Alligator mississippiensis: one gene and its partners. The protein of the gene in region 3 binds, or shares a complex with, the protein of the main gene of each other region. Links are inferred from orthologs where the notes say so. Each region holds a gene or a part of one and is shown on either strand. Other genes may lie near its edges.

The links.
Region 1: the proteins of UBE2F (region 3) and UBA3 are in contact, whole or in part, in a crystal structure (PDB 3FN1), measured with the Homo sapiens proteins. The link is inferred for Alligator mississippiensis from reciprocal best matches to the Homo sapiens genes UBE2F and UBA3. Residues at the interface, in NP_001265234.1 of Homo sapiens: Thr27, Arg28, Arg29, Val30, Asp34, Lys35, Val38, Lys39, Val41, Ala42, Glu45, Val54, His55, Phe56, Pro57, Asp58, Pro59, Asn60, Leu62; in NP_003959.3 of Homo sapiens: Ala401, Thr403, Thr405, Leu406, Glu407, Gly408, Asn410, Arg411, Thr412, Ser417, Val418, Thr419, Ser420, Ile421, Arg424, Thr425, Gln442, Glu443, Ala445, Ala447, Asp448, Val449, Thr451, Pro452, Gln453, Thr454, Leu456.
Region 2: the proteins of UBE2F (region 3) and DCUN1D3 are in contact, whole or in part, in a crystal structure (PDB 4GBA), measured with the Homo sapiens proteins. The link is inferred for Alligator mississippiensis from reciprocal best matches to the Homo sapiens genes UBE2F and DCUN1D3. Residues at the interface, in NP_001265234.1 of Homo sapiens: Leu2, Thr3, Leu4, Lys7, Leu8; in NP_775746.1 of Homo sapiens: Glu108, Glu109, Glu112, Pro122, Thr123, Glu124, Met139, Cys140, Glu194, Ile204, Ala207, Leu208.

What each region holds. Positions count from the first base shown.
Region 1 is NC_081835.1:6,056,478-6,063,895, forward strand, and holds the start of UBA3 (NEDD8-activating enzyme E1 catalytic subunit), read right to left. Parts: upstream 3,006-7,418; 5' UTR 2,940-3,005; coding exon 2,920-2,939; intron 2,823-2,919; coding exon 2,781-2,822; intron 1-2,780. UniProt on the Homo sapiens protein: Catalytic subunit of the dimeric UBA3-NAE1 E1 enzyme. E1 activates NEDD8 by first adenylating its C-terminal glycine residue with ATP, thereafter linking this residue to the side chain of the catalytic cysteine, yielding a NEDD8-UBA3 thioester and free AMP.
Region 2 is NC_081836.1:46,087,512-46,094,817, reverse strand, and holds the start of DCUN1D3 (DCN1-like protein 3), read left to right. Parts: upstream 1-4,301; 5' UTR 4,302-4,391; intron 4,392-4,435; exon of another isoform or gene 4,436-4,533; intron 4,534-5,452; exon of another isoform or gene 5,453-5,909; intron 5,910-7,306. UniProt on the Homo sapiens protein: Contributes to the neddylation of all cullins by transferring NEDD8 from N-terminally acetylated NEDD8-conjugating E2s enzyme to different cullin C-terminal domain-RBX complexes and may play a role in the cell cycle progression by regulating the SCF ubiquitin E3 ligase complex, after UV damage.
Region 3 is NC_081827.1:187,282,696-187,289,895, reverse strand, and holds the start of UBE2F (NEDD8-conjugating enzyme UBE2F), read left to right. Parts: upstream 1-4,197; 5' UTR 4,198-4,364; intron 4,365-7,200. UniProt on the Homo sapiens protein: Accepts the ubiquitin-like protein NEDD8 from the UBA3-NAE1 E1 complex and catalyzes its covalent attachment to other proteins. Together with the E3 ubiquitin ligase RNF7/RBX2, specifically neddylates cullin-5 (CUL5).

The sequences.
Region 1 (7,418 bases), on a different chromosome or scaffold from region 3:
TTAAAAGTTCCTTAATTAACCAGGTGTCATTTTAATTAGCCCATTGGCTTGTTACCCACAACATTTTCCAAGATAGAAAATCTGAATTTCTGAAGTATTTATATTTTTAAATCAAGATATTTAGAGTATAGCATTTCCCCCATATTTTGATGCTCAGGTTTTCAGAAATTTAGAATGGTAAGATAAACTGATCTCAATACATTTCAAAATTCCTTACTGGAATACTTCAGAACCAACATTTTCATTTCAGCTTCCTTTTTTAATTTTAAATCTCCAGATTGTAATGCTTCCTCTAAACCAGTCTACATAAGAGTAATGAAGTCCTGCCCCAAAACAGCACATTTCCCATTTTTAAATCTAATTCAATTATATAATTACTGCTCCGTGTTACTAGGATTCTGTACAAATTATAAAATAGCTTTGTCAGTTTGAGCATGCATGCTCAACCTTGTCATAAATAAAGAATGCATTTTTTTTCTTACTACAAGCGTTCCTCATATTTCTCATACATATTGAGAGCTTGGTTCAATAATGGTGCGGATTTACCATCTTTGCCCTCACAACAAAATTAAATGGTGCAAGATGGTGTGCAGCCTTTTCTTTCTACCTAAAATTTAAAAGATGGACAATAGGATCAGTCCAACGTGGTTTTAATTCATGTACAAAGCATAACTTTATATATAAAAAAAAGAGTAATTAGGAAATAACAACTTGCAGGAAAGAAATGTTCCAATATTTCACATCTAGGTAACATTTTGACAGGCTGCCAAAATCACCCTTGGCTGGCTTCTAACTTTAGTTGAGCTACTCTAGTTATTAATTTATAAAGAGCGTACTACAGCAGTCTCTCTTAGTTCACACTGAATCTTGCAATTGGTTCTCCACACATGCAAGTTACAGTTCAGAAATATTCTTAACTTGTTTTTATTTGAACCATAAACTTCAATCTGTATTCTGTCATCTATAGTTTGAAATCTCTGTTGGAAATGAGTGCATACCTGTGCTCAGTGGCATTAAAAATTACTTTTCTCTTTCTTGTGTAGTGTCAGTGAATACAGCCACTGCCTAGCTCTGAAGGGTGCATGTCTCTTATTTTAGCATTAAACTTGGGTAGTAACATTTGGTTCCAATTTGTGATTTTAATTCAGTTTAGTCTCAGGAAGAGCTAAACATTTTAAAGGTAGGTCAACTCTCAGTCATTTGATTTGTGACTTAAAAATTTGCTTTCAAGGGGGTTTGTAAAGTTTTCACTATTGCAATATTAGGGCATTAACAAGTCTCTTGCATGTAAGAGCTCCAGTCAAAATTTTACAAGGTGTGCAACCGAAAGCTGCTTTCAATTATCACAGTTTTTGCATTGGCTCACACCCTTGCACTCTTTCCTTCCCTGTTCCCAAAGCTCATGCTTTTGAGGGTCTGTCACCAGCATGCACCCACACAATGCAACATGCCCAAGGGCACTTGTGACCCCCAGGGCACCCTGCACAGGCCCATGCACTCACTATCTGTGGATCTCCCTGCCGCCCCCTTCCCTTTGGGGAGGGGGGTCACAAGCAGGTGGAAGGGGGCAGGGGTTCCCACACTGGCTTTTGGGGGGAGCTAGGTTAGGTGCACAGAATACAGAGTTGAATAAGCAGGAGCTCTTCTGTAGCCTAAAGCTCACAAGCCAAACAGCAAGCTGCTCCTAACTTGCATACCTTCCCCTACCCAGCCTCTCCTGCTCCTGTCTGAGCTCCCCAGCACTGCCAGCCTGCACTCACGCCAAGCCCCAGCGCCCCCCTCAAGGTGAGCCCTTCCCCAGCCCCAGCTGCTCAAGCTACATTTAGCTCCCATGCTGCCCAGCAGCAGCTTCCCCAGCCTCCAGGAACCAAGTGGCACCCGCTCCTGCAGCCCTGCCTACCCCAGAGCCACCTGCAAGCTGCTTCCCTGCTCAGCCCCGGCCCTGCTCCCAACCCCTGCTCTGACCCACCTGCCGTAGCCCCAGATACATCAGGGCTAAGGGGGTCGGGGCAGCTGTATCTGGGGCAACAGTGTCAGGTCAGGGCTTGGGGGTGGGGGCAGTTGTAACCCACCTGCCCTGCCCCCCTGCCCCGACCTGAAACCAGCTCCAGCTGCTAACTCTCTCCCCCCCCACCCCGCTCTAACCTTGATATAGCTGCCCCCATAGCCCTCCTCAGACCCACCTGCCCTGCCCCCCAGCTTCAGCTGCCAAGAGCCCCCCAACCTAATACAGCTGCCCTACCCCTCCATAGCCCACCTCCTCTACCCTCAACACAGCCCAGACCCGCCCCCCGAAACCCACCTCCTCTACCCCCCCCGGGCACAGCCCCCCCACAAGACCCACCTCCTCTACCCCCCAACACATCCCGGACCCCACCGCCCTGCCCTGCCCCGTCTCCCCGCTGCTGCCGCCACCCTGCCCCGCAGCCCTGCCGGGTCCCTAAAGAGGACACCAAGCTCCGCACGAAAGAAACGATCCCACGCTGCAAAAAAAAATAATTAAATTAAATAAACGATGCCGCCCGGCCTGCTTTTTATCCCCTGGGTAGGTCTCGCAGCCAGTGGCGGGGGAGCGGGGCCAGGATGCGTTTCGGGGCCCCCTGGGTTTTGCATCATAAATGCACCACTCATTTTCGTGCTCTGTGTGTGTGTGTGTGTGTGTGTGTCCCATCCCGTGCACCTGGCAACGCTGCTCCCCCCTCCCCCCCCGGCCTGCCCCAGCCCCTCAGCCCGGCCTCCCCGGCTCTGCTCTGCTGCCCGGCCCGCAGCCCCGCACTAACCCATCCGCCAGCAGCTCCTCTATCCTCCTTCTTTTCTTCTCCCTAAAAAGAGAGAGAATAAAAGAAGGGTCAGTCCCGCGCTGCAGAGCCCGGGGCCCACCCGGCCGGGGAGCGGGGGACGGGCCCGCCCGGTACTTACGGCTCCGCGCCATCCGCCATTGCTCCCGCTCTCCGCACTCGCCGGGCGCCGCGCGGGTAGAGCGCCACCTCGGAGCATCGAGTCTACGGAGGACAGAGAGGCCCGCTCGGGGGTGGGTGGGGCGGGCTGACTGGGGGGGTCCGCCAATCGCCTTAGCAACAGGGTCACGTCACAGCCGCTGTGAGCAGGCGTCGCAGAGCAGTGCGCAGGCGCCGCAGAGCAGTACCCCTTCAGGGCAGGCAGGGGGCAGGCGCGTGCGCGGAGCCTGGTCCCTAGTGCGGCGCGCAGAGCGTGGAGCCTTGCAATGCACAGCGCAGGGCCCGCGGAGTGCGTAGGGCCCATCGCCTACAGCATACAGTCCCAGCACAAAAAAAGGTTGAGCACCACTGCTCTGGAGTGTAGGACTCATCATCTGGAGCGTACGACCCATAATATGGAGTGTAGGACCCATAATCTGGAGTGTGGGACCCATAATCTGGATCGTACGGCCCAGCATCTGGAGCGTACGGCCCATAATATGGATCGTAGGGACCATAATCTGGAATGTATGACCCATAATGGAGTGTAGGACCCATAATATGGAGTGTAGGAACCATAATCTGGGTCGTAGGAACCATAATCTGGATTGTACGACCCATAATCTGGAGTGTACGACCCATAATCTGGAGTGTACGACCCATAATATGAAGTGTACAACCTATAATATGGAGTGTACGACCCATAATCTGGAGCGTACGACCCATAATCTGGAGCGTACGACCCATAATATGTATCGTAGGACCCACAATCTGGAGCGTAGGACCCATAATATGGAGTGTAGGACCCATAATCTGGAGTGTAGAACCCATAATCTGGAGCGTACGACCCATAATCTGGAGTGTAGGACCCATAATCTGGAGTGTAGGACCCATCATCTGGAGCGCACGACCCATAATCTGGAGCGTAGAATGCTACAAATCCTACAGAATACAGGCAGTCCTCCACTGACAACATTTTGATTTATGGTGTTTTGCACTTACCACGTCCCTGTTTCAACTTTGTGATGTCGGTTGTGACTTGGTGACGTTTGCTCTGACGCTGCACCACATTATATCGCCCATCTCCCTGGAGAACATCTGTCCGAACTTCCTTGGACACTTTAAGAAAGCAGACAGGACTCCTGAGAAGACTCCAGCCAAGAACCCTTCAAAAAATCCAACCAAGAGCCTTTCAAAAAGTCCAGCAAAGTCACCTCAAAGAAGTCCTTCCAAATCAATATGATTACTATTTACAATATAAATACACTGATGTAGCTATATTACTCATCTATAATTGATGGAGTTCAAAATTCCTGGTCATTTTTGGTGAAAATAGGGTATCAGGTTTCCATTCAGGAACCAATCCCCCCGTTTATAACATTGTTTCCTATGGGAAAATCAGTTCTGAGTTGCAACGTTTCGATTTAAAATGTGGTTCTCAGGAACCAATTGTGTCCTAAATCTGGGAACTGCCTGTACAGGAAGCAGAAGAATAATGGAAAACAGACACTGACGAGCGCTGGAGGAAGGAGGAAGCTTCCTCAGAGCAGGGATTCCCAAGCAGAGTGCTGCGGCTCCTTGGGGTGCTTTGAGAGCCTTTGAAGGGTGCTGCCGGGTACCCCCCAATGTGAGCCCCTCGATGCATGCAAACATGATTCACGAGATAAACCAGGAGATTTTCCCATAGGTATTCACAGTGTCAAAAAATTGTGGTCTTCCTGTGTTCTTTGCAGCAGAAAAACGTTTTGGATATTTTTCCGTGATCAAAAAACGAGTGCAGATTAAGAGCTGGCATTTTCTAAGGCAGGGCACAAGTTTAATAAGGGGTACCTCACACCTATAAAAAGGTTGTGAGCTGCTACCGTAGACACTGGCAGGAACACAAATAGGCGTGCCCTCCCGCAGACACCAGACATGTCGGGTGCACTTTGCCCCCTGACAGCCTCACCCAGCGAGAGAGAAGTGTCAGCCTTTTGCATATTAATTTACGAAGCAATTGTCATCCAGCCATATGGCAGGCACGAGCCATTTACAATTGTTCACAAGTATTTTTCATGTTATCAGTGCTACCAGTAACTGGCTTTGTGACTGGCACAGATGCATACCCTGCATATCAATTATACTACCAGCATTTCTTCATGCAAGTAGGAGAGGAACCAGCCTTGTGGGTGGAGCAGGGTGGGGAGATGCAGCAGCTAGCTGCCAAGACCTTGACTAAACTGGAAAAGCTTTGCAGATAGAGCGATAATAATGGCAAACCCTCCGGCATAGCTCATAGTTGCCAGTATAATTTATACAACCAGCCCCTCAACAGAAGTTTCAGCAGTATGTCTCTAGTGGGTTATGGAATAGAGAAAATCCCACACAATTTACTGATTCGTTTGATGCACTGGCTGGGGGAGTATTTAGCTACTTGCACGATTTCACAATGATTACACTCTTAATTCATACAACACAATTTTATTTTAAAATTCTTTGCTACACATATAACACTGCTTAGCTTTAAGAAACACCACAAACATTAAGAACACAATAACTACATAGATCAGAAACAATGCTCCAAATGCACTTCTTTCCCAAACAATGCTATAAGAACTAGTATTACAAAAACAACTACGATTACAACTCAAAGTTAAATTTGAATCAATACTATTATTTTTCATAATATACTTACAATCCTAGAATTCCGAGAAGCCTAACACCTAAATATGGTTCCATTCCTCAGTAGTACAATTTAATGGGCTGGCCTCAGTAATACGGTTCAATGGGCTGGCCTCAATACTGATAGGACTAAGTCCCCTTCCTTCAGTCCCTTTCGAGCGCTCCGCAGTGTCAGCGTGAACTAAGAGATTCGTGTTCACGGAGAGGGTGGTTCAGGTGATCGGTCTGATCTGGCCTACACTTGCAATTCTTCCTTTGTTGTTCTGCAAGTGAGGTTACCTCCAAAATGGGACAGCAGGTTACAGTTTTTATTGAGTGAGTTGCCATCTTGGGCCCTTCCTACCCAAACCTGTCACTACTCCCAAATATGGGCTCGGATCTTACTTTACAGATTCTTTTGCTTGGTAATCAGTTTCTTTTGTTGATAATTTTAATTACTTCGGGGAATTTCCTTTCTTTCCAACCTTTTAAAAGGCTCCTAGGGTTTGATTTCTCGGAATGTGGGATGTTTGCTTAAGGGTTATTTTTAGGTTAACTTTGTTAAAGACCTCTAAAGACAAAATTCAAGAGTTAAGACTTTGAGCAAAGTCAGGACCTTCCGCACGTGGACCAAAACAATGGCCTAGATAAGAAGATGAATCTTGTCTTCTTCCTAAACTGGCTAATGGGCAACTATTACAAACATTCAAATATTACATTCAGTATGACACAGTAAAAGGGCTTTTTTTTTAACCAGCTTAACTCTTCTTGCACTAGAGCTTTTGCCAATACAGCTATGGATGTTGGAGACAGTTTTTCACACTCCTACCAACCAGTGGCAAAGCTTGGAAGCATACACCCAGCTGCAATCTCTGAAGTGAAACCAGCTGGAACTCTCCAGGATGGATTGTTTCTCAAGCGGCATTTGAGAAGTATCTAGTCCTGCCAGCTTAATGAAACGCTAGGGCCCAACATATCAAAGATCAACGTATGGAGATTTTGGTGTGTTTCATTGTTAGTATATTTGACATGTTTGTAACTGGAAAGCTGAAAAATGGAGAAGAGTGAAATCAGAACTGCAATCAAATACCTCTATAAGAAGAGATCAAATATGTGGAGTCAACTGTCAAAACAGACCTTTTTGTGGGCACCGGTTGTTTGCAGACATGTAATAAAGTGCTATTTAAACCTCACTTTTAAACCCAGAGTATTGTTTTTTAATTGCAGTTCATATTTTAGTTATTTTTCAAATGTAATTTTACTCCTGGTAGACAACATAACAGTGCTTGAAGCAGGATCTGGAACTCAGAACTCCCCTCTTCTTTGAATCTCCCCAGACAGAAGAGAGTGTAAAATCTGGATGTCCTCCCTATGTGAGTACTGAAATCACCGATCAGAGGGGAGTGCCGGCAGCCCTGTCTCTAGCTGTGGGGTTTTTTTTTTTAAGTAGCATTTTGTACACTGCACGAGCTGCGAGGTGAGCTCTGAGAAACCTCCCCGATCCAGACCTTCAGGCAGAGGAACACCTTGTTTATGGGTCATGATGAGCCCTAAGCCTGAGCTAGGCATGGACCCGTTCAGTCCTGGTGCTTTGCACGTGCACAGAAGTGCAATGTGAACTGATTAAAAGTGAAGCACCTATAGGAGTTTGGGCCTGTCGAGGATTAAGCAGCAGCTGAGTTGACGGGTTGAGGGTCTTAATTTAGGAATTAGGGAGTTGAAACCCACCATAGTCCAATTAAACCCTTTTGTGGTCTTGGGCCTTAAGTGGTGGCTGATCAGCGGTGTTACATTAGGGCCGCTCTTACGGCTTCACTGCATTTATGGCAAGATTGCGCCCAC
Region 2 (7,306 bases), on a different chromosome or scaffold from region 3:
GTGGGAATTTTGCCATTACAGGAAGGGCTTGCACGACTTAACATTTCACTTGAGTTAAACATTGGCTGACACCTTGATTAGAGACAACTGCATGCAATTCAAACAGCAGTAAATCAACAACTAGATTTTATCAATGGCTTTCCAGAACTATTCACACACATGGAAAAAACCCAAAAACTGATGCTTCATAATCTAGATCAGTAGCTACTATAACAGTCTATTGCAGCTGAACCCCAATAAATAGATGGAGAGTAGGTCATTCTCTAGTGAAGGACAAATGATCCTTTTAAAATTGTTATTCTGATTTGGCCAATATAGGCTGGATCCAGTCTGGATAGCACTCCTGGAGCTGAGCTACGCATTGGGGTCTCCTAGCTAGGGACAGAAATTACACATAAACCAGTATAAATGATCAGAAACCGGTTCAAAGCTGTAACACAACAGAAGTTCAATGCACATAAGCTGCTTTCAGAATGGCTGAAACGGGTTTAAGAAAAACGTCGATGGATGTAGTATCAGACTTAACTGATTTAGGTTAAACTGGTGTATTGACCTTGTCTCGGATTCCAACCAGATTCAAGTTAACTCACAGTCCTCCAACATCCCAGGCAGAGTTGCCAGGTCTTAAAAATGAAGTTATCATAGTGGAAGCTCAAATTATCGTATTTTCTGAAAACTATCATACACTGAAAAATGGTGTGCAAATAAGCATGCAAAAAAGTTTTCTTTTTAGGTGACGTCACGTTGGCTTGTACTGTTATTATCATCACCAGGGATCCAGGTTTTCTATTTCCCACGGGAAAATGGAGAAAACGCAGATTTCTCTTTTTAGCAGAGAAATCCGCTGATTCTTTGCTTCTGCAAAGTGCTCTGGCAGGCTGGTGCAGCTCCAGCCTGCAAGAACTGATTGCAAAAAAGACGGGAAACCCCCAGCCCTGGTCGGAGTGGGAGGGAGAGGGGGAGGGCAGGGCCTGAGTCTCTGAGGCAGCCCTTTGGCTCAGGCTCAGACTTACCCTTCACCCCTGGAGCATGGAGGTAAGTGTGGCTTGGGGCAGGGCTGGGGAAGATGGTTGGGGATTGAGGGCATGGGGGGGTGCTGCCAGCCCCAGGCAGCACACCGCAGCTGGGAGCAGGCCAGGAGGTGAGGGCAGGGGTGTTCCTCTGCAGGGGACTTTGCGGGCAAGCGATGCGGGGCACAGTGTGGTGGTGCCCGCCATGTGTGGGCCGCACGCATGCCGCCTGGCTGCCTGCTCAGGGGAGGGGGAGGCTGGTATGTGGCCGGAGCATAGCTCCACGGCCAGCTCTGCAGCCACAGCGAGGGATGGGGGTGCGGCGGGATGGGGGGAGGCTTGGGCTTGCACATGGCGCTGCTGCTTACCTGGAGGCCTGTGACGGCCGCTGCCTACAAAACCTCCCACTGCTGCTGCGGAGCCATGCCCGGAGGGCCAGCCGCCCAGTGGCAGCGTGGTGGTGGCCAGGCGGCACGCAGCCATCCCCACCACCACCCCGCACTGCACCGCTGCCGTCAGCCACACAGCTCCACGGCAGCAGCGGGAGGTTTTGTAGGCAGCAGCCATCATTGCTGTCACAGGGCTCCAGGTAAGTGACAGCGCCATGTGCGAGCTGAAGCCTCCCCCCTACCCCCATCCCTTGCCATGGCTGCAGAGCCGGCCACGGAGCTGTGCTCCGGCTGAATGCCAGCCTCCCTCTCCCCCTCCCCTGGGCAGGCGGCCAGGCGGCATGTGCGGCCCACACATGGCAGGTACCACCACAATGCACCCCAAGTTGCTTGCCCGCAAAGTCCCCCGCAGAGGGGCACCCCTGCCCTCACCCCCTGGCCCTGCTCCCAGCTGTGGTGTGCTGCCTGGGGCTGGGCAGCACCCCCCACTCCCTCAGCCCCCAACCATCTCCCACAGCCCCCCAAGCCCCATTTACCTCTAGGATCCAGGGGCGAAGGGCATATCTCTGTGGTGGTAGCACTTGACTGCAAAGCCGCCCCCCCCCCCCCGCATGCAGCTGCCACCACTCTGCACTGCTGCGGAGCCGTGCAGCCAGTTGCGGGGCATGCCGCTGCATGCAAGCCCCCTGTTTCACCCCCCGGCCTGCACACGGCGGTTGCCACTGCACTGCCGCTGCCACGTCCTGCGCCCCCTGCCCACAAAGCCATGCAGGTGTCCGTGGGATGGTAGCGCAGGGTGCAGTGGCAGAGTTGCGGTGTTGGCCTCAGTGGGTGAACCTCCTGTCAGGCCTGCCGGCACGTGTGTGGCCCACAGAGTGGCACCCTTGCCCTCACCCCCTGGCCCTGCTCCTGGGAGTGGGCACGGGGGCACACTCCCCACCTTCTTGATCTACCCCCAGCACCTTCCCTTTCTCCTGCCCTGCCCCTTCCCCCCACACACACACACTGCTGGGGTGGGTGTCAGTGTCTGTGTATGCATGTCTGTGGGTCTGGAGGGCTGCTGTGAGGGGTATCAGGAGGGCTGTGGAGACCGTGGTGGGGAGTGCGGGGCACCAGCAGCGCTGGGAGGGGTTGTGGGGGGGACTTTATTTTTTATCACGGATTTTGGGTTTTTAAATCAGAGTATTTGCAATTTTTAATCAGAGAAAATTAGGATCCCTGATCACCACACTTGTGCCACTGTACTTGACACTACCCACTATGATGTTTGAACTCTTTCTATGACTGGTTAAACTGAATGTATTACTATGATTATTCTTTTCTCTTTGTTTTGCAGTTTAGGTCTGTGTATTGTAAATCTTCTACACTTTATTTTGCAACTTACTGTATTGGGTACACGCCTGCAATTTACGAACAAGGCGAGCACAAAACCCCTTTAATTTCCTATTGATTTAAGACTGTATGTAACATTTAAAATAAAGCTCTTAGTATTATCACACATTGAGATTTAGTTATATGGTCGTTATACAGTTACCCACCATAAGTCTCCAGTTAAAGATAAATAGCAAGTATTGCTCATCCTCACTTTAGTCCCTGTCAAATCCCAATTCAAAACCAGTGAGAACTGGGTCATCATCAACCTTGAAGTGTTTCTTTGTTTTGAGGCAAGTGGTTGGAAGAAAGCACGGACAGCGAACCCGAAAGTTCAATAGATTTCATAGATTTGTAGGGTCGGAAGGGAAGATCATCGAGTCCGCCCCCTTGCCCCCGGGTCAGATGACCCCAGCCAGGTACTTGTCCAGTCTCCTCTTAAAGCCCCCCGGGGTAGGGGAGAGCACCGCCTCCCTTGGGAGCACGTTCCACACTCTGGTAACCCAGACTCTTAAGCTGGTTAAGACCCCCTGAGAGTGACCCGGGTTTTGCACATGCTGCCTCAATTAACTGCCTCAATTGTGATAGACTTTTGAACATTTTTAGTATTATCTGTCTTACAAGGGTTGAAAGTATTGTACAAATACGATAATTACGCTACATCTGGCAACACTGACCCCAGCATACCTTGCAAGCCAGTTCCCCGTCTCAGGGTGGGCAGGCTCAGCGCGGTCTGCTCCCGGGCGGTGCGCTGCAGTGCCCCCCCGCCCCCGCCCGGCCACTGCAGGCGTTCCCAGAGTCAACAGTTAACGTCTGTTCAGTTGCTTATCGGTGCCGCGTACACAGTCTAAGTTGTGCAGACTGAATCGATTCCGCCTCGGGCTTGTTACTGCTTGTACTTGGCGGAGGGCCGGGACCCGGTAGCAGAGCACGAACCCACTTACGTGTTGCAGGGCAGGGGCGGTGTTTTGTTTCGGACAGGGTCACAGGAAAAGGCCACGTGGATTTCACTTTGGTTCAGTCTAAACACGGCAAGTCGGTGTCTCCACGGTTGTCTGCCCGCCGCCCCCCATGGCTTTTCGTGCCGTGAGCGGGGAGCTACAAGCAGACCCAACCGAGCCCGACCGTGGGGGCCTGGCGACGTCGAGCGCCCACTCTGCGCATGTCCAGCCCCACGCGCCAGATGCCCGGGCAGCCTAGCGAAAGGCTCTCCCGGGCGGGCCGCTACCAACGTGCGCGGATGGGGAGGGGGAGTGTTCCCGCGCGTCCCCCCCATCTCTCATTTTGCCCTTTCTCACTGCTGCTCAGCACCCACTGGGTGTCTCTCCTTCCCTTCTCCCACTTTACCTCCAGGATCAAGCGCGATGTAACCCTCTTTCACGTTCCCCCCCTTCCTTGAGCAGTGGTTCGGCCCGGCCAAGCCCGGTTCCCCCTACCACAGCCGGCGGTGGTTGTCTGCCCTTTTCCTGCCCTCGCTGTACGTGTGGCGTCAGGGACGTCTGCACGCTCCCCGGCGTCACACCGCCGCGCGCCGCCAGCTGACTCCTCATCCCCGGAAGTGATGCAGAGGCAGGGAGGGAGGGGGGAAGGCAAGCTGGAGTATCGCTGGGAGCCGCGGAGGGTGAGTGAATTGGACCGTGTCTCTTCCCGTCCGCTTCAGGGGGCGCTGCCTGTGGGGGGCCGGGCCGGGAGGCGCCCCGACCCCGGGGGCCTGAGGCACCGGAGTCGTCCTGGAGAGCCCGGCCCGGGCGCTCGAGTAGCTTGTGCGTGTGTGGAGGAGCCGGGGCGGGGGTGGAGGGGAGATCTCCCGTTAGGGCCCGGGGCGCTGTCCCCCCTCGGGGCCGGGGCCGCCCGCCCTGCGACCCCGCACGGCCCCCTTCTCTCTGGCGCCCCCGGCTGCACCCCCTCCTCCCCCACGCTCCCCGACCCCGGAGGGCGCCTACCCCAGAGCTGCTGCCAGGGCCCCGGGGGGTGATGCGGTCCCCGCCGGGGTGCCCCGTGCCGGCCTGGCCTCGTCAGGATCCCTCGGGGGTCCTGGCGCGGGCTCTGCTCTCCTGGCTGCCAGGATCCCCGCGCGTGTCCGTGCCCCTCGTGTCCCTCGCTCGCGCCCGGGGCGTGAAGTTGCTGCTTGTCCTCAAACTTGCTTCTGTGGCCGCCAGCGCTGTGGGCTCCCTTCCCGGCCTGCGAGGGCTTTAATGGGAGCCTCGGGGTGCACCCCCACCCCATCTTGTGGGCTTACGGACCTGGCTGAGAGCGCGGCCGGACTAGGCATTTGTAGTAAGTGCAGCACCGTGCCTAGACTCCTGGCGGCTCTGGGCAAATTTTTAGTATTGGGCTCCCCTTTGCCACAGATAATAATGATGATAATGATTATTTTCACCACTTTCAAGCCTCCCTTCTGTCTGGGCCCTGGGCAGCTGCCCGGTTTGCTGATGCCTGTGTCTGGCCTTGAGTAAATGTTTCTTGGGAAGCACGTTTCTTTCCTGCTGCGGCTGTGAGAGGGCAGGGTAGGGTGGGAGGCTGAGTCTTGTCGTATAGCTGAGCCTCCTGATGCTCTGGACACAATGCTCGTGCCCTGGATTTCCATGGGGAGCCACTTCTTCCCCAATACTTGTTTAAATCATTCCTTCTTTAAGTTGCGGTGGGAGTGCAGGCTTATGTATTTATTTATTTTATAATCTTGATAGTTTGTTTCTGAATATCAAGTTCCGATACTCCACACTTGTCTTGCAGAAGAACTTCACGCTATGCCACTGTTGTGTTTTCTGAGGAGTCCCGAAAGACTTGTGATCGATCTTTCAGTGTCAGTTTCATTCTGTCTTCCTTATTCATTCCCCAAGTTTGGGGAGAAAAAATTGCTAAGCACAAGCTGAAGGTATCTTGTCTAATGCAGGCTTCCCATATTTGACTGAGAACCTTCCCGTATCTAATTAAGTTAATAAGTGACCACTAGGTTTTTGGTATTGGATTTTGGGCTAGCTGTGAAAAGAAACAATCTTTTGTGTGTTTTTGATTCTACATTGTCATAAAGTCTTTGCTGCAGCCTTTCTGCTTGTTTTCCAGGTGCTACTGTGAGGTGCTTATTGGGAGAGGAAGGAAGGTCTTTTGACTAAAATGAAGACTGGGAACCATGAGACAGGTTCTGTTCTTGGCTCTACCTTGCTTTGCCTCATCTTAAATGGACAGTTACTTATTTCACAGGGTGTTTAATTGTCTGTGAAGAGCTTTTACAGCTCCCTAAACAAAAGACAACTTGAGGTTTGAAACAAAGTATTTTCATAGGTGAGAGGAAGGTGTAGAAAAGCAGATTGTTAGATCCTTGTTGACAAAGTACATTTAATTCTGGTTAGAAACTTGTGAAGAAGTTCAGTTGAAGTCTTCTAAATTCTAATAATTTCATGGCAGTTAGTGCTGCTATAGAATTTGCTGTCCATAAATCTATTTAAAGATTACTACATCATTAAGAGTGTACTTACAGCCCTAATATTCTTTGACAGCTCAGCTTGATGTTCTGGTAATCCATTTTATCTTGAGACCTGATAAACCTTCAATATCATCTGTAATTTGCCTGTAGATCTCAGGAACTGCATCTGGTGACTTTCATAGTAGTTACTTAATTTGTCTCCTATTCCATGCTGTCTTGCTTTAAAGAGCTTGGGAGGTGGATGGGTGTGTGTGAGTAACTTTTGGTGTTATCAATTGCATCTTGCCGACTGTGGCACTGAGCATTTAAACGTAAAGGACAGTAACAAGATCAATAGGAGAACTAGAGGGTAGACTTGACCATGTGGTGTAAAGCAGCTACTTCTGTAAACGGAGGGGGAAAATAGCTTCCTTAAAGAGGGAGTGTTCCAGGGAGAGAGGCTGTCAGACTATCTCACTGGCCTGTAATACAAAGGGACACAGAATGACCTCTGGTGTATGCATCAGTGATGATGAAAAAAGGAGATCTCCCTTGTGTGTCCACGGGAAAGATAGACCTCAGTCCTGCACAATGTGTTCTGTGTGTTGGGATGGGAGGGGAATAAGGGAGAGATGGGAATGTTCTTGGCTTTTATTTTGTAGATGAAAATGATTCAGCCCTTCCTGGCTGTGAGGAGAGCCAGGTGTGAATTTGGTGTACGTTGCTTTTTTCTCATATCTGCAAATGCTATCAAGATGCCTGCTGCCCCTCAGAGCTATCCCAAACTGCTGTAGTCTGGGTGGTTTTTCTGCTGCTGGTGGGAGGTATTGGGTGGTTTTTCTGCTGCTGGTGGGAGGTATTGGGTGGTTTCATTACCGTAGTTGCGAGCCTTGTGGTAGTAGTGAAACTGAAGGTCACTTTCATTCTGGTGCTGCTTGTCAGAGGTGCAAATAGAAAAGGTGTTCAGTTAGTTGCTTGCTTACTGCTACTGCATCCTATAGAGATGCACTTTTGTTGGCTAGGTAAAAGACCAAAGGCAGAAAGAAGCTGAAGGTTTAAGAGAATAGGGGACATTTTACCTGTTCCCAAGATTTAAGCTGAAGATCAGTCCAACGATACTATTTGGAGTTCTT
Region 3 (7,200 bases):
ATAGCTCTCTGAATCTTTTCTGAAGATTCGTAGAGCTTTGAATCAATTCAGACCTTTTAATTGGTCCCCTGATTCAGTTTGGATTCAGAGATTCGGCCGCTGAATCAGGCTGAATCTCTTCTGAATTGAATCACCACCCAAAGTTTCACACAGCCCTATTACAGGCACAACAGGGTCTGTTGGCTTCCCTGTGGCGCCCCCCCAAATTGCTGTTAAGCAGAGATCCCTTTCTCCCCTCTCCCATAGCACAGACTGTAGCCAGCATGTGGTATGCTAGCTAATGCTGTGTAAGGCAGATAGGACAGTGTCCACTTAGGGCTTTCTGGAGGTAATCAACAGGTAGCTGGTAGGGACGAGGACCACTTCCCTGGGAAGTTGGCCACCCTAACTGTAAAATATTGTCTTCTGATCTCTAACCTAAACCTATTCTCCATCAGCTTATTACCACTGTTCCTTGTCACTGCAGGTGGTGCTGGGGAGAAAAGGGCTCTGCCTATTTGCTGTTGATCTCCCCTGAGCCGGGTCTCAGTTCTCTTCCCCTGTACTGTGATCAGCTGTAGCCCGGCTGAGGGAGGTAGGGAGAGCCAGGGCTGTGTTCCTCGCCCAGCTGAGCCACATGGGGCTGCGGAGCTGTTGGGAGTCCCTGTCTCCTACCACCTGGCTGCTGGGTGCTTTGAAACTCAAAACGTTTTGAAACTTTTGAAATGTTTCAACTAGCCTCGTTTTCTTTCAAGGCTGTTTCGAAGCCCTTTGTTTCGATTCAATTTAGCTGTTTCGAGCTTGGAATGAGTTGAAACAGTGTTGAATCGAAACAGGCAGCAAAATTTTGCACAGCCCTACTAGCCAGCAGGCAGACCCCATACTGAAGCAACCTTGTGCTTCAGGCAGCTGGGATAGTGTCTGCACATGCACCGCTGCAGAGTAAAAAACTTTGCAGCAAGATAGTACTTATATTTACAAGTGCTACCTTGCTGCAGAGTTAGTTCACTCAAGACTAATAGGGGCACACGTGTAGATGTTCAACATTTACTGTGTAGCTAAGTAGTCTACTCCACCGTAAACATTTTGTGCAGGCAGAGAAGGGAAGCTGCTAGCTCGTGGTGGTGTGGTACAAAAGGCAGCAGACAAGATGATGGGTGCCCCCTTGTCCTTTCCATCCCCTGCCAGGAACTCTCCGCCAATCAGCATCAAGGGGTGGGGTGGCATGAAGTGCTGTCTTAGTCTGTGGTTACTGCTTTTGACTGATGGGATTTTTGTTTTGATTTAAAAGGTTACAACAAAATACTAGAGCTAGTTACAATATTCTGTGCTGAAATTTCTCTCTGTCCTGAAAAATAGATTAATGAATGCTGATTTTCTTCATACAGAAAATGTCTAATCTACCTAAAAATGTTAGCTCTCTTCCTGGAGGAGAAGTAAAAACAATTTCCTTTTATTCTCCAAATATCAACTTTAAATGGTACTTTGTCTCATCTTGATTCAATTCTTCTGGGCAAATGAGTAACTATAGTAGATCTTTTTCAACTGAAAATGTTCAAATGAAAATACTTTGCTCAATTTCTCACAATAAAAACACCAGTTTTATCAACAGCTCTAAAAAACTTGTACTGAACATAGGAGACCGGGGTTTGATTCTCAGTTGTGACACGGAGTTCTTCACTGAATTTTAGCATGTCACCTAATCTTTTTTTTTCTTCCATTCTTCATCTATAAAATGAGAGCAACAGTGCTTTCTTCTTCCCTCAATCTAGCTTGTTCAGACACTTCTTAAAAACATGCTTATTTGGATTTGTATGACAGTTGGCACAAGTAGCTCCTGATGGGAGTATTAGGGCCTTTTGTTTTTACTGTTGACAGTAAATTATGCTTATGCAATGAGGAAGTAGGGGGAAAAAGAGAATAGATCAAGTGAATGACAAATTCAGTTTACTAAATGGTGCAATTCAGTTTATTTGGCCAGTTCTAAGGTGGCTCAGCCAGAGATCTCAAAGCCCTTGAACCAGGGGCGATCTAGATCTATCAGGAATCCATTCGGTCCCATACATGCTGGGAAAAATGCTGTTACAGTAACTGCTGAATTTTGTGGCAGCATCAATTTATTCTTCCATCACAAAACACCTCCATTTCCATTTCCATTACCACTTCCTTCCAGTTTCACACAACTACCTGGGAGTTGAATGTAATTATCACCAGGGCTTCTTTCTCACAAGGATAGGCTACATTCTCCAGATAGCATGGCTCTATTCCAGTTCTCTAGACACTATTCAGGAGTCCTGATGGAGAGCCTGCAATTTACCAGGAAAGAAGAGAGTTTTTATTTATCATCTGGTCACCCCTCCCAATGCCAGCTGAGGATCAGAGCCCCATTCACCAGGCACTCACCAGGAATATAACACCAATCCGACCTAGTAGCCTGGGGTGCTTGTACAGGTGACGGGGGTTTCGTTCTCCCTAAATTGAAACAATGGGTTTTTAATTGTGTCATTTAAAAACCCACCATTTTAATTTAGGGAGAACAAAACCTCAGCCATGTGTACAAGGGTGAGGGGGCCTGATCCTTTTTTTTTCCTGCCTCCTGCGGCGGGGCGGAGGGACGAGCTGCCGGCAACCGGCCAAGCAGTCCTTGAGCTGCAGGGGAACCTGGCCCTTCCCTCCCTTCCCTGCAGGGCGCCCTGCAGGCAGCACCTGCCTGCTAGCACCTGGGGGGTGACGCCACCGTGGAGGGAAGGACCAGGACCCACACATCTTGGGGGTTGTGTGACCCAGCGGTAGCTTATGCAGGCAGGCTCAACTGAAGGGATAAAAAAAAGTGGCAAGGAGCCTGATCTTTTTTTCCCCAGTCTACCTGCCTGAGCTGTGCAGGGCCCCATGCTTCCCTCTGCAGCAGTGGCATCCCATGGGACCACCTGGGTGAGCTGCTAGCAGGCAGGTGCTGCCTGGGCGGTGCTGCCACCATGGAGGGCAGCACCAGATCCCACTCAGCTCAGGCAGGCAGGCTCTTTTTTTTTTTCTCTGTTGGGCTGGGTGCTAGTGGGCAGGGGCCACCTAGAAGATGCTGCTATCATGGAGGGAAGGACTGGAGTCCCCTGCAGCTCAGGGACTGCTTGCCACCCCCTCTCCACCCACTATGGGAGAGGCAAGTAGGCTCCAGCGCCCTGTGTACCATCCCTTCCACCTTCCCGCTGCCTGGGACTTCCCAGGAATGGCTAGCTTGCCCCTGGGGCAGTACAGCAAGGTGGCAGGAGAGTGGCTGGGTGTGCTGGAGGTGGGTGAAGGTGGTGGGATTGGTGCCATGAGGCACTGGAAGCCCAAGCCCAAGTACATTGGCTTCTAGCACCCTGTTGCATTTTGTTCTGTAGCAAACTAAAGTACCTCCAAGGGGTTATTTAAAGCAAAATACACCTCTGAACGTGTAAATAGCAACACCATTAAAGCAGAATACACTGCTGAATATGTAAATAGCAATGCCATTAAAGCGGTGCAAAAGGACAATTAAGCCACTTTAATGGCCAATTTTGTTGCATGTCTGCAGTTTTTGTTCACTGCAGTCTGTGAATAAAACAAGAGTGGGAGTGGGCCGGGGAGCACAAAACACAAGGAGCCTGCGGGAGCTGCCGGTCAGGGCCCGCGGGCTGCGCACGGTGTCAGAAGCCCAAGCAGAAGGCTGTAGCTGGGGTGGGTCCGGCGGGAGGACAGTGGTGCAGCTGCACCCCCCCGACTTCCGATTCCTGCCCCATCCAAACTATGGAACCGACGGCCGGGAGAAGCAGCGGCCTTTCCATTGGGGCAGCGCTGGGGGAGGCAGCTGCCTTCCTGATTCAGCCGAGCCAGCCCATGGGGTTTTGCTCTTCCCCAAAAGGGAGAGTGTTCACGTGCGTGCATCCCTGTCCCGAGCCCTGCAGCAGCGGGAGGGCGAGAGGCCCGCGCGGGCGAGGGTAGCCAGACAGCCCAGTGCGCCCAGCCACCCGCCCGAAGCCCGGCAACGCAGAGTCACGGTGACTCGGCAGAAGGCGCCGCCCTGCGCTGCTCCTTTAAATAGCACCAGCTCCCAGCGCCCCCCGCCCGTGAGGGAAAAGCACGGGGAAAGTGTTGGCCGGTCACGCAAGATCGCAGCACGGGACAAGACTCGCCCCTTCCCGTCCGCTGTGCCTGGAGACCGTCGTGTGCGCGCCGCCGCGCCGTGCTGATAAAGTTCTTGTTGCAAACACTGAATCCGGCGGCGTCGCCCCGGCCCCGCCCCCCACTTCCGGCTCTGCAGCCGCGGAGGAAGGAGGAGGAGGCCGCGGCCCGTTCCCGGCTCGGGCCTCGCGGGGATGGTGTTGGCCGCTGCGGCGGGAGCCGGGACCTGAGGCGGCGGCGGCCAGGTGAGCGCGGCCCGGCCCGCCGTCAGCTGCGCTCCCTTGCTGCTCCGGCTCGGGGCCCCCCCCCACCCCCGCGGTGCTAGCGGGCGGGCCGAGGCGGGGCCGGCGGGAGGCCACAACCCTGGGACCAGCCGGGTCGGGGGCCCCGCGTTGCCCCTCCCGGGGGCTCCCGTCTCTGTTCCGCGCCCCTCCGGCCCCCTCCCTCTCCAGGGCGGCTCTGGGCTCTCGCCTCGCCCCCCCCAGGGACCCCGGGCACTCCCTGCCCCTGGGTCGGGCGCTCGCACAGACCTCCGCTCTGCTTCAGCACCTTGGCAGGCGCCACCAAGGAGGCAGGAGAGCACAAACACTCCTGCCTCTGGTCGGCTTGGTCCAGCAGCTGCCCCCTGCACTGCATCATTTGGCTCACAGGCCCCCCCCCCCCCTGCTTTGGGAACTTGGAGTTGCTGCTCCCCTGCTGCCACACTGGGCTCTTGGGGCTGGCAAGGGGGGCAGGATGCCAGGAGCAGATCCCCACGCGTGGGGCTCAGACCCTATCCAGGTGCAGAGGACCCGGCCCTGTGTCAGGCTTGGTCTGGCTCATGGGTCAGCCCTCATCTGGCCCTTGGGGCCAAAAATCAGAGCACCACTGAGTTAATCCATAAGGTGCATCTCTCCTTTGCCTTCTGCCTGACTTCAGACTAGTGTGGTTACCTATGTATCTTTGCTGGTAGATGTGACTCCTCCCTGTGAGGGGCCTTCTGCTGTGCTCTTGTGCTTTGGTGCAAAGCAGCAGGAGCCAGGTCCACAGTGGTGTTTAGGTGTATAACTCCCATTGAAATTACAGCATTTGGAAGCTGAGCTTTGAAACGAGGGCCTTGTAAGACCAGGCCTACGTGCCCCAGCTTATCTGGTCTTCTATCCCACTCCCCTTAAAAGTAGAACCTCTGCCAAGCTTGTTTCTCTTCCCCCTTTCTGCATTGAAGGAGCACAGCTGCCTGGACTATTTTCTGTCCCTTCCTCTGTTCCAGAGAGGGAACCAGTGAATTTTCATTCTGCCCTGCCTCACTTTGCCTTAATTAAATTTATATTTGCCCTTGGATACATGGCTTTGTCTAGTCTGAGTCAGTAGCCTAATACCAGATGCTGTCTGTCTTGGTGCTTTCAACCTTCTTGCATTTCTTATCAGTACAGCATGCCAGCTGATACTGTGAAAACTGTTTTCCTTTTAAGATGACCTTACTGGTGCACGTCTTTGCCATGTTGTTTTTTGAGTTTTGTTCTGAATATTTTCATTTAATTTTGTATGCTCCTTTACTAAATGCACCAGCACTTTCAGGTTCTTCTCAAGTTAGGCATGTAAATCCCAGTCTGGAACCACATTGCTGCTTTCAGATTTTACAGTGGACTTGGCCAAATTGGCAGGGCTAAAATTTTTTCCCCAGTGGCTTTTTATTTTGTGGTATGAATGAGTGTGATAAGAGGGTGAAAAAGCTGCTGATACAGGGATCTGATAAAGTTCAGTTTTGTGAACTGCTTGCAAGAAAGGAGCATCCATGTGCAGAGTGTTCTACCAGATTCTTCATTTCACGTCTCAGATTGGCCTCCATGGTGTTCCCACTGCATTGATTTATTTATTTATTTTTTGGTTCTGATTACATCACCCTACCTATAAACTCCTCAGTTGGCTTTCTGTTTTCCACTCTAAATTCATACTTCTATGGAATATTTTAAAGGCCATATGTAATTCTGCCTCTTCCTGCTTTTCTGTAGCTTTTTATTCAACTTGACAACTTGTGTAAAGACCCAAGCTGTCCTGGCTTGGGGTTTTTTTTTTCTCCTCTACCTTAATTTAGTTAATTCATATATGGCAGCTTAAGAATGAACCCTCTCCTCCCCTCCAAGAATAGTAAGGCCTCAATGTCTTGGCTTTTCCATTCCTTTTGGTGGCATAACTGCTGGCAAAAAACAATTATCTACAATCAGGTTGTTTTTTTATCAGTGTGTTCTGGCTTTGCTTTTTGGCATTTTCAAGCACTGATCTTTGTATGCTGCCTATTAATGTAATAAATTACTTTATGCAGGGGGGGTTGGATAGTGACTTACTGGGCAACTCTTTCTTAGTTGGTATCAGGGAGGACTGCTATAACAAAATATCACTTCCGTCTTTGAGCCTCTCTTTGAGTACCTGTCTAGGTATTTACTGTGATAATGATAAGGAGCACCTAACAGAGAATGGTATCTCTGTTCACTGTAGATGCTGGTAATTGTCAAAGCTGCCTCAGGACCGGAGATTTTTGTGTTACCTCTTCCTATTCCATGGTATCCCCCTTCCCTGATGTTCTGTGTGGCCAGAACTGTTGGGAGAAAGTTGTTTCTGAATACAGCTTTTGATGTCTGTACCTTGTTCTCTACGGATATGCATGGTCTTTTCATATTTGCAACTTCTTAAAGGTTCTCTGATTGCTTGGATGGGCTCCTTTATTGAAATTCTATAGAAATAACAAGTTCAGGAAGTGGTATGTTTAGCTAAGAAAGAAATAGAAAGAAATTTCCTTGATAGCAGAGTGAAACTTACTGAAATTTCTCTGCTGTAATTGATTCTATGCTAGAACCTGATGCACTGTAAGCCAGTTCACTCCATATTTACACCTGGACTTGTCTCAACCCAACTTTAAATATTCCGTTCGGTGCTTAACCTCATGTCCTAAAACATTAATGGCTTTTATTGGGTGCAGTCATTTGTCGTCTTGCAAAATAACATTTTCTTAGTGGCTTTATCAAGTGGCTTTTACTGCCACTGAGTAGCATGCTATGGATACCACTGAACTCTCATTTATCTGGAACTCAAAATACTTTATGT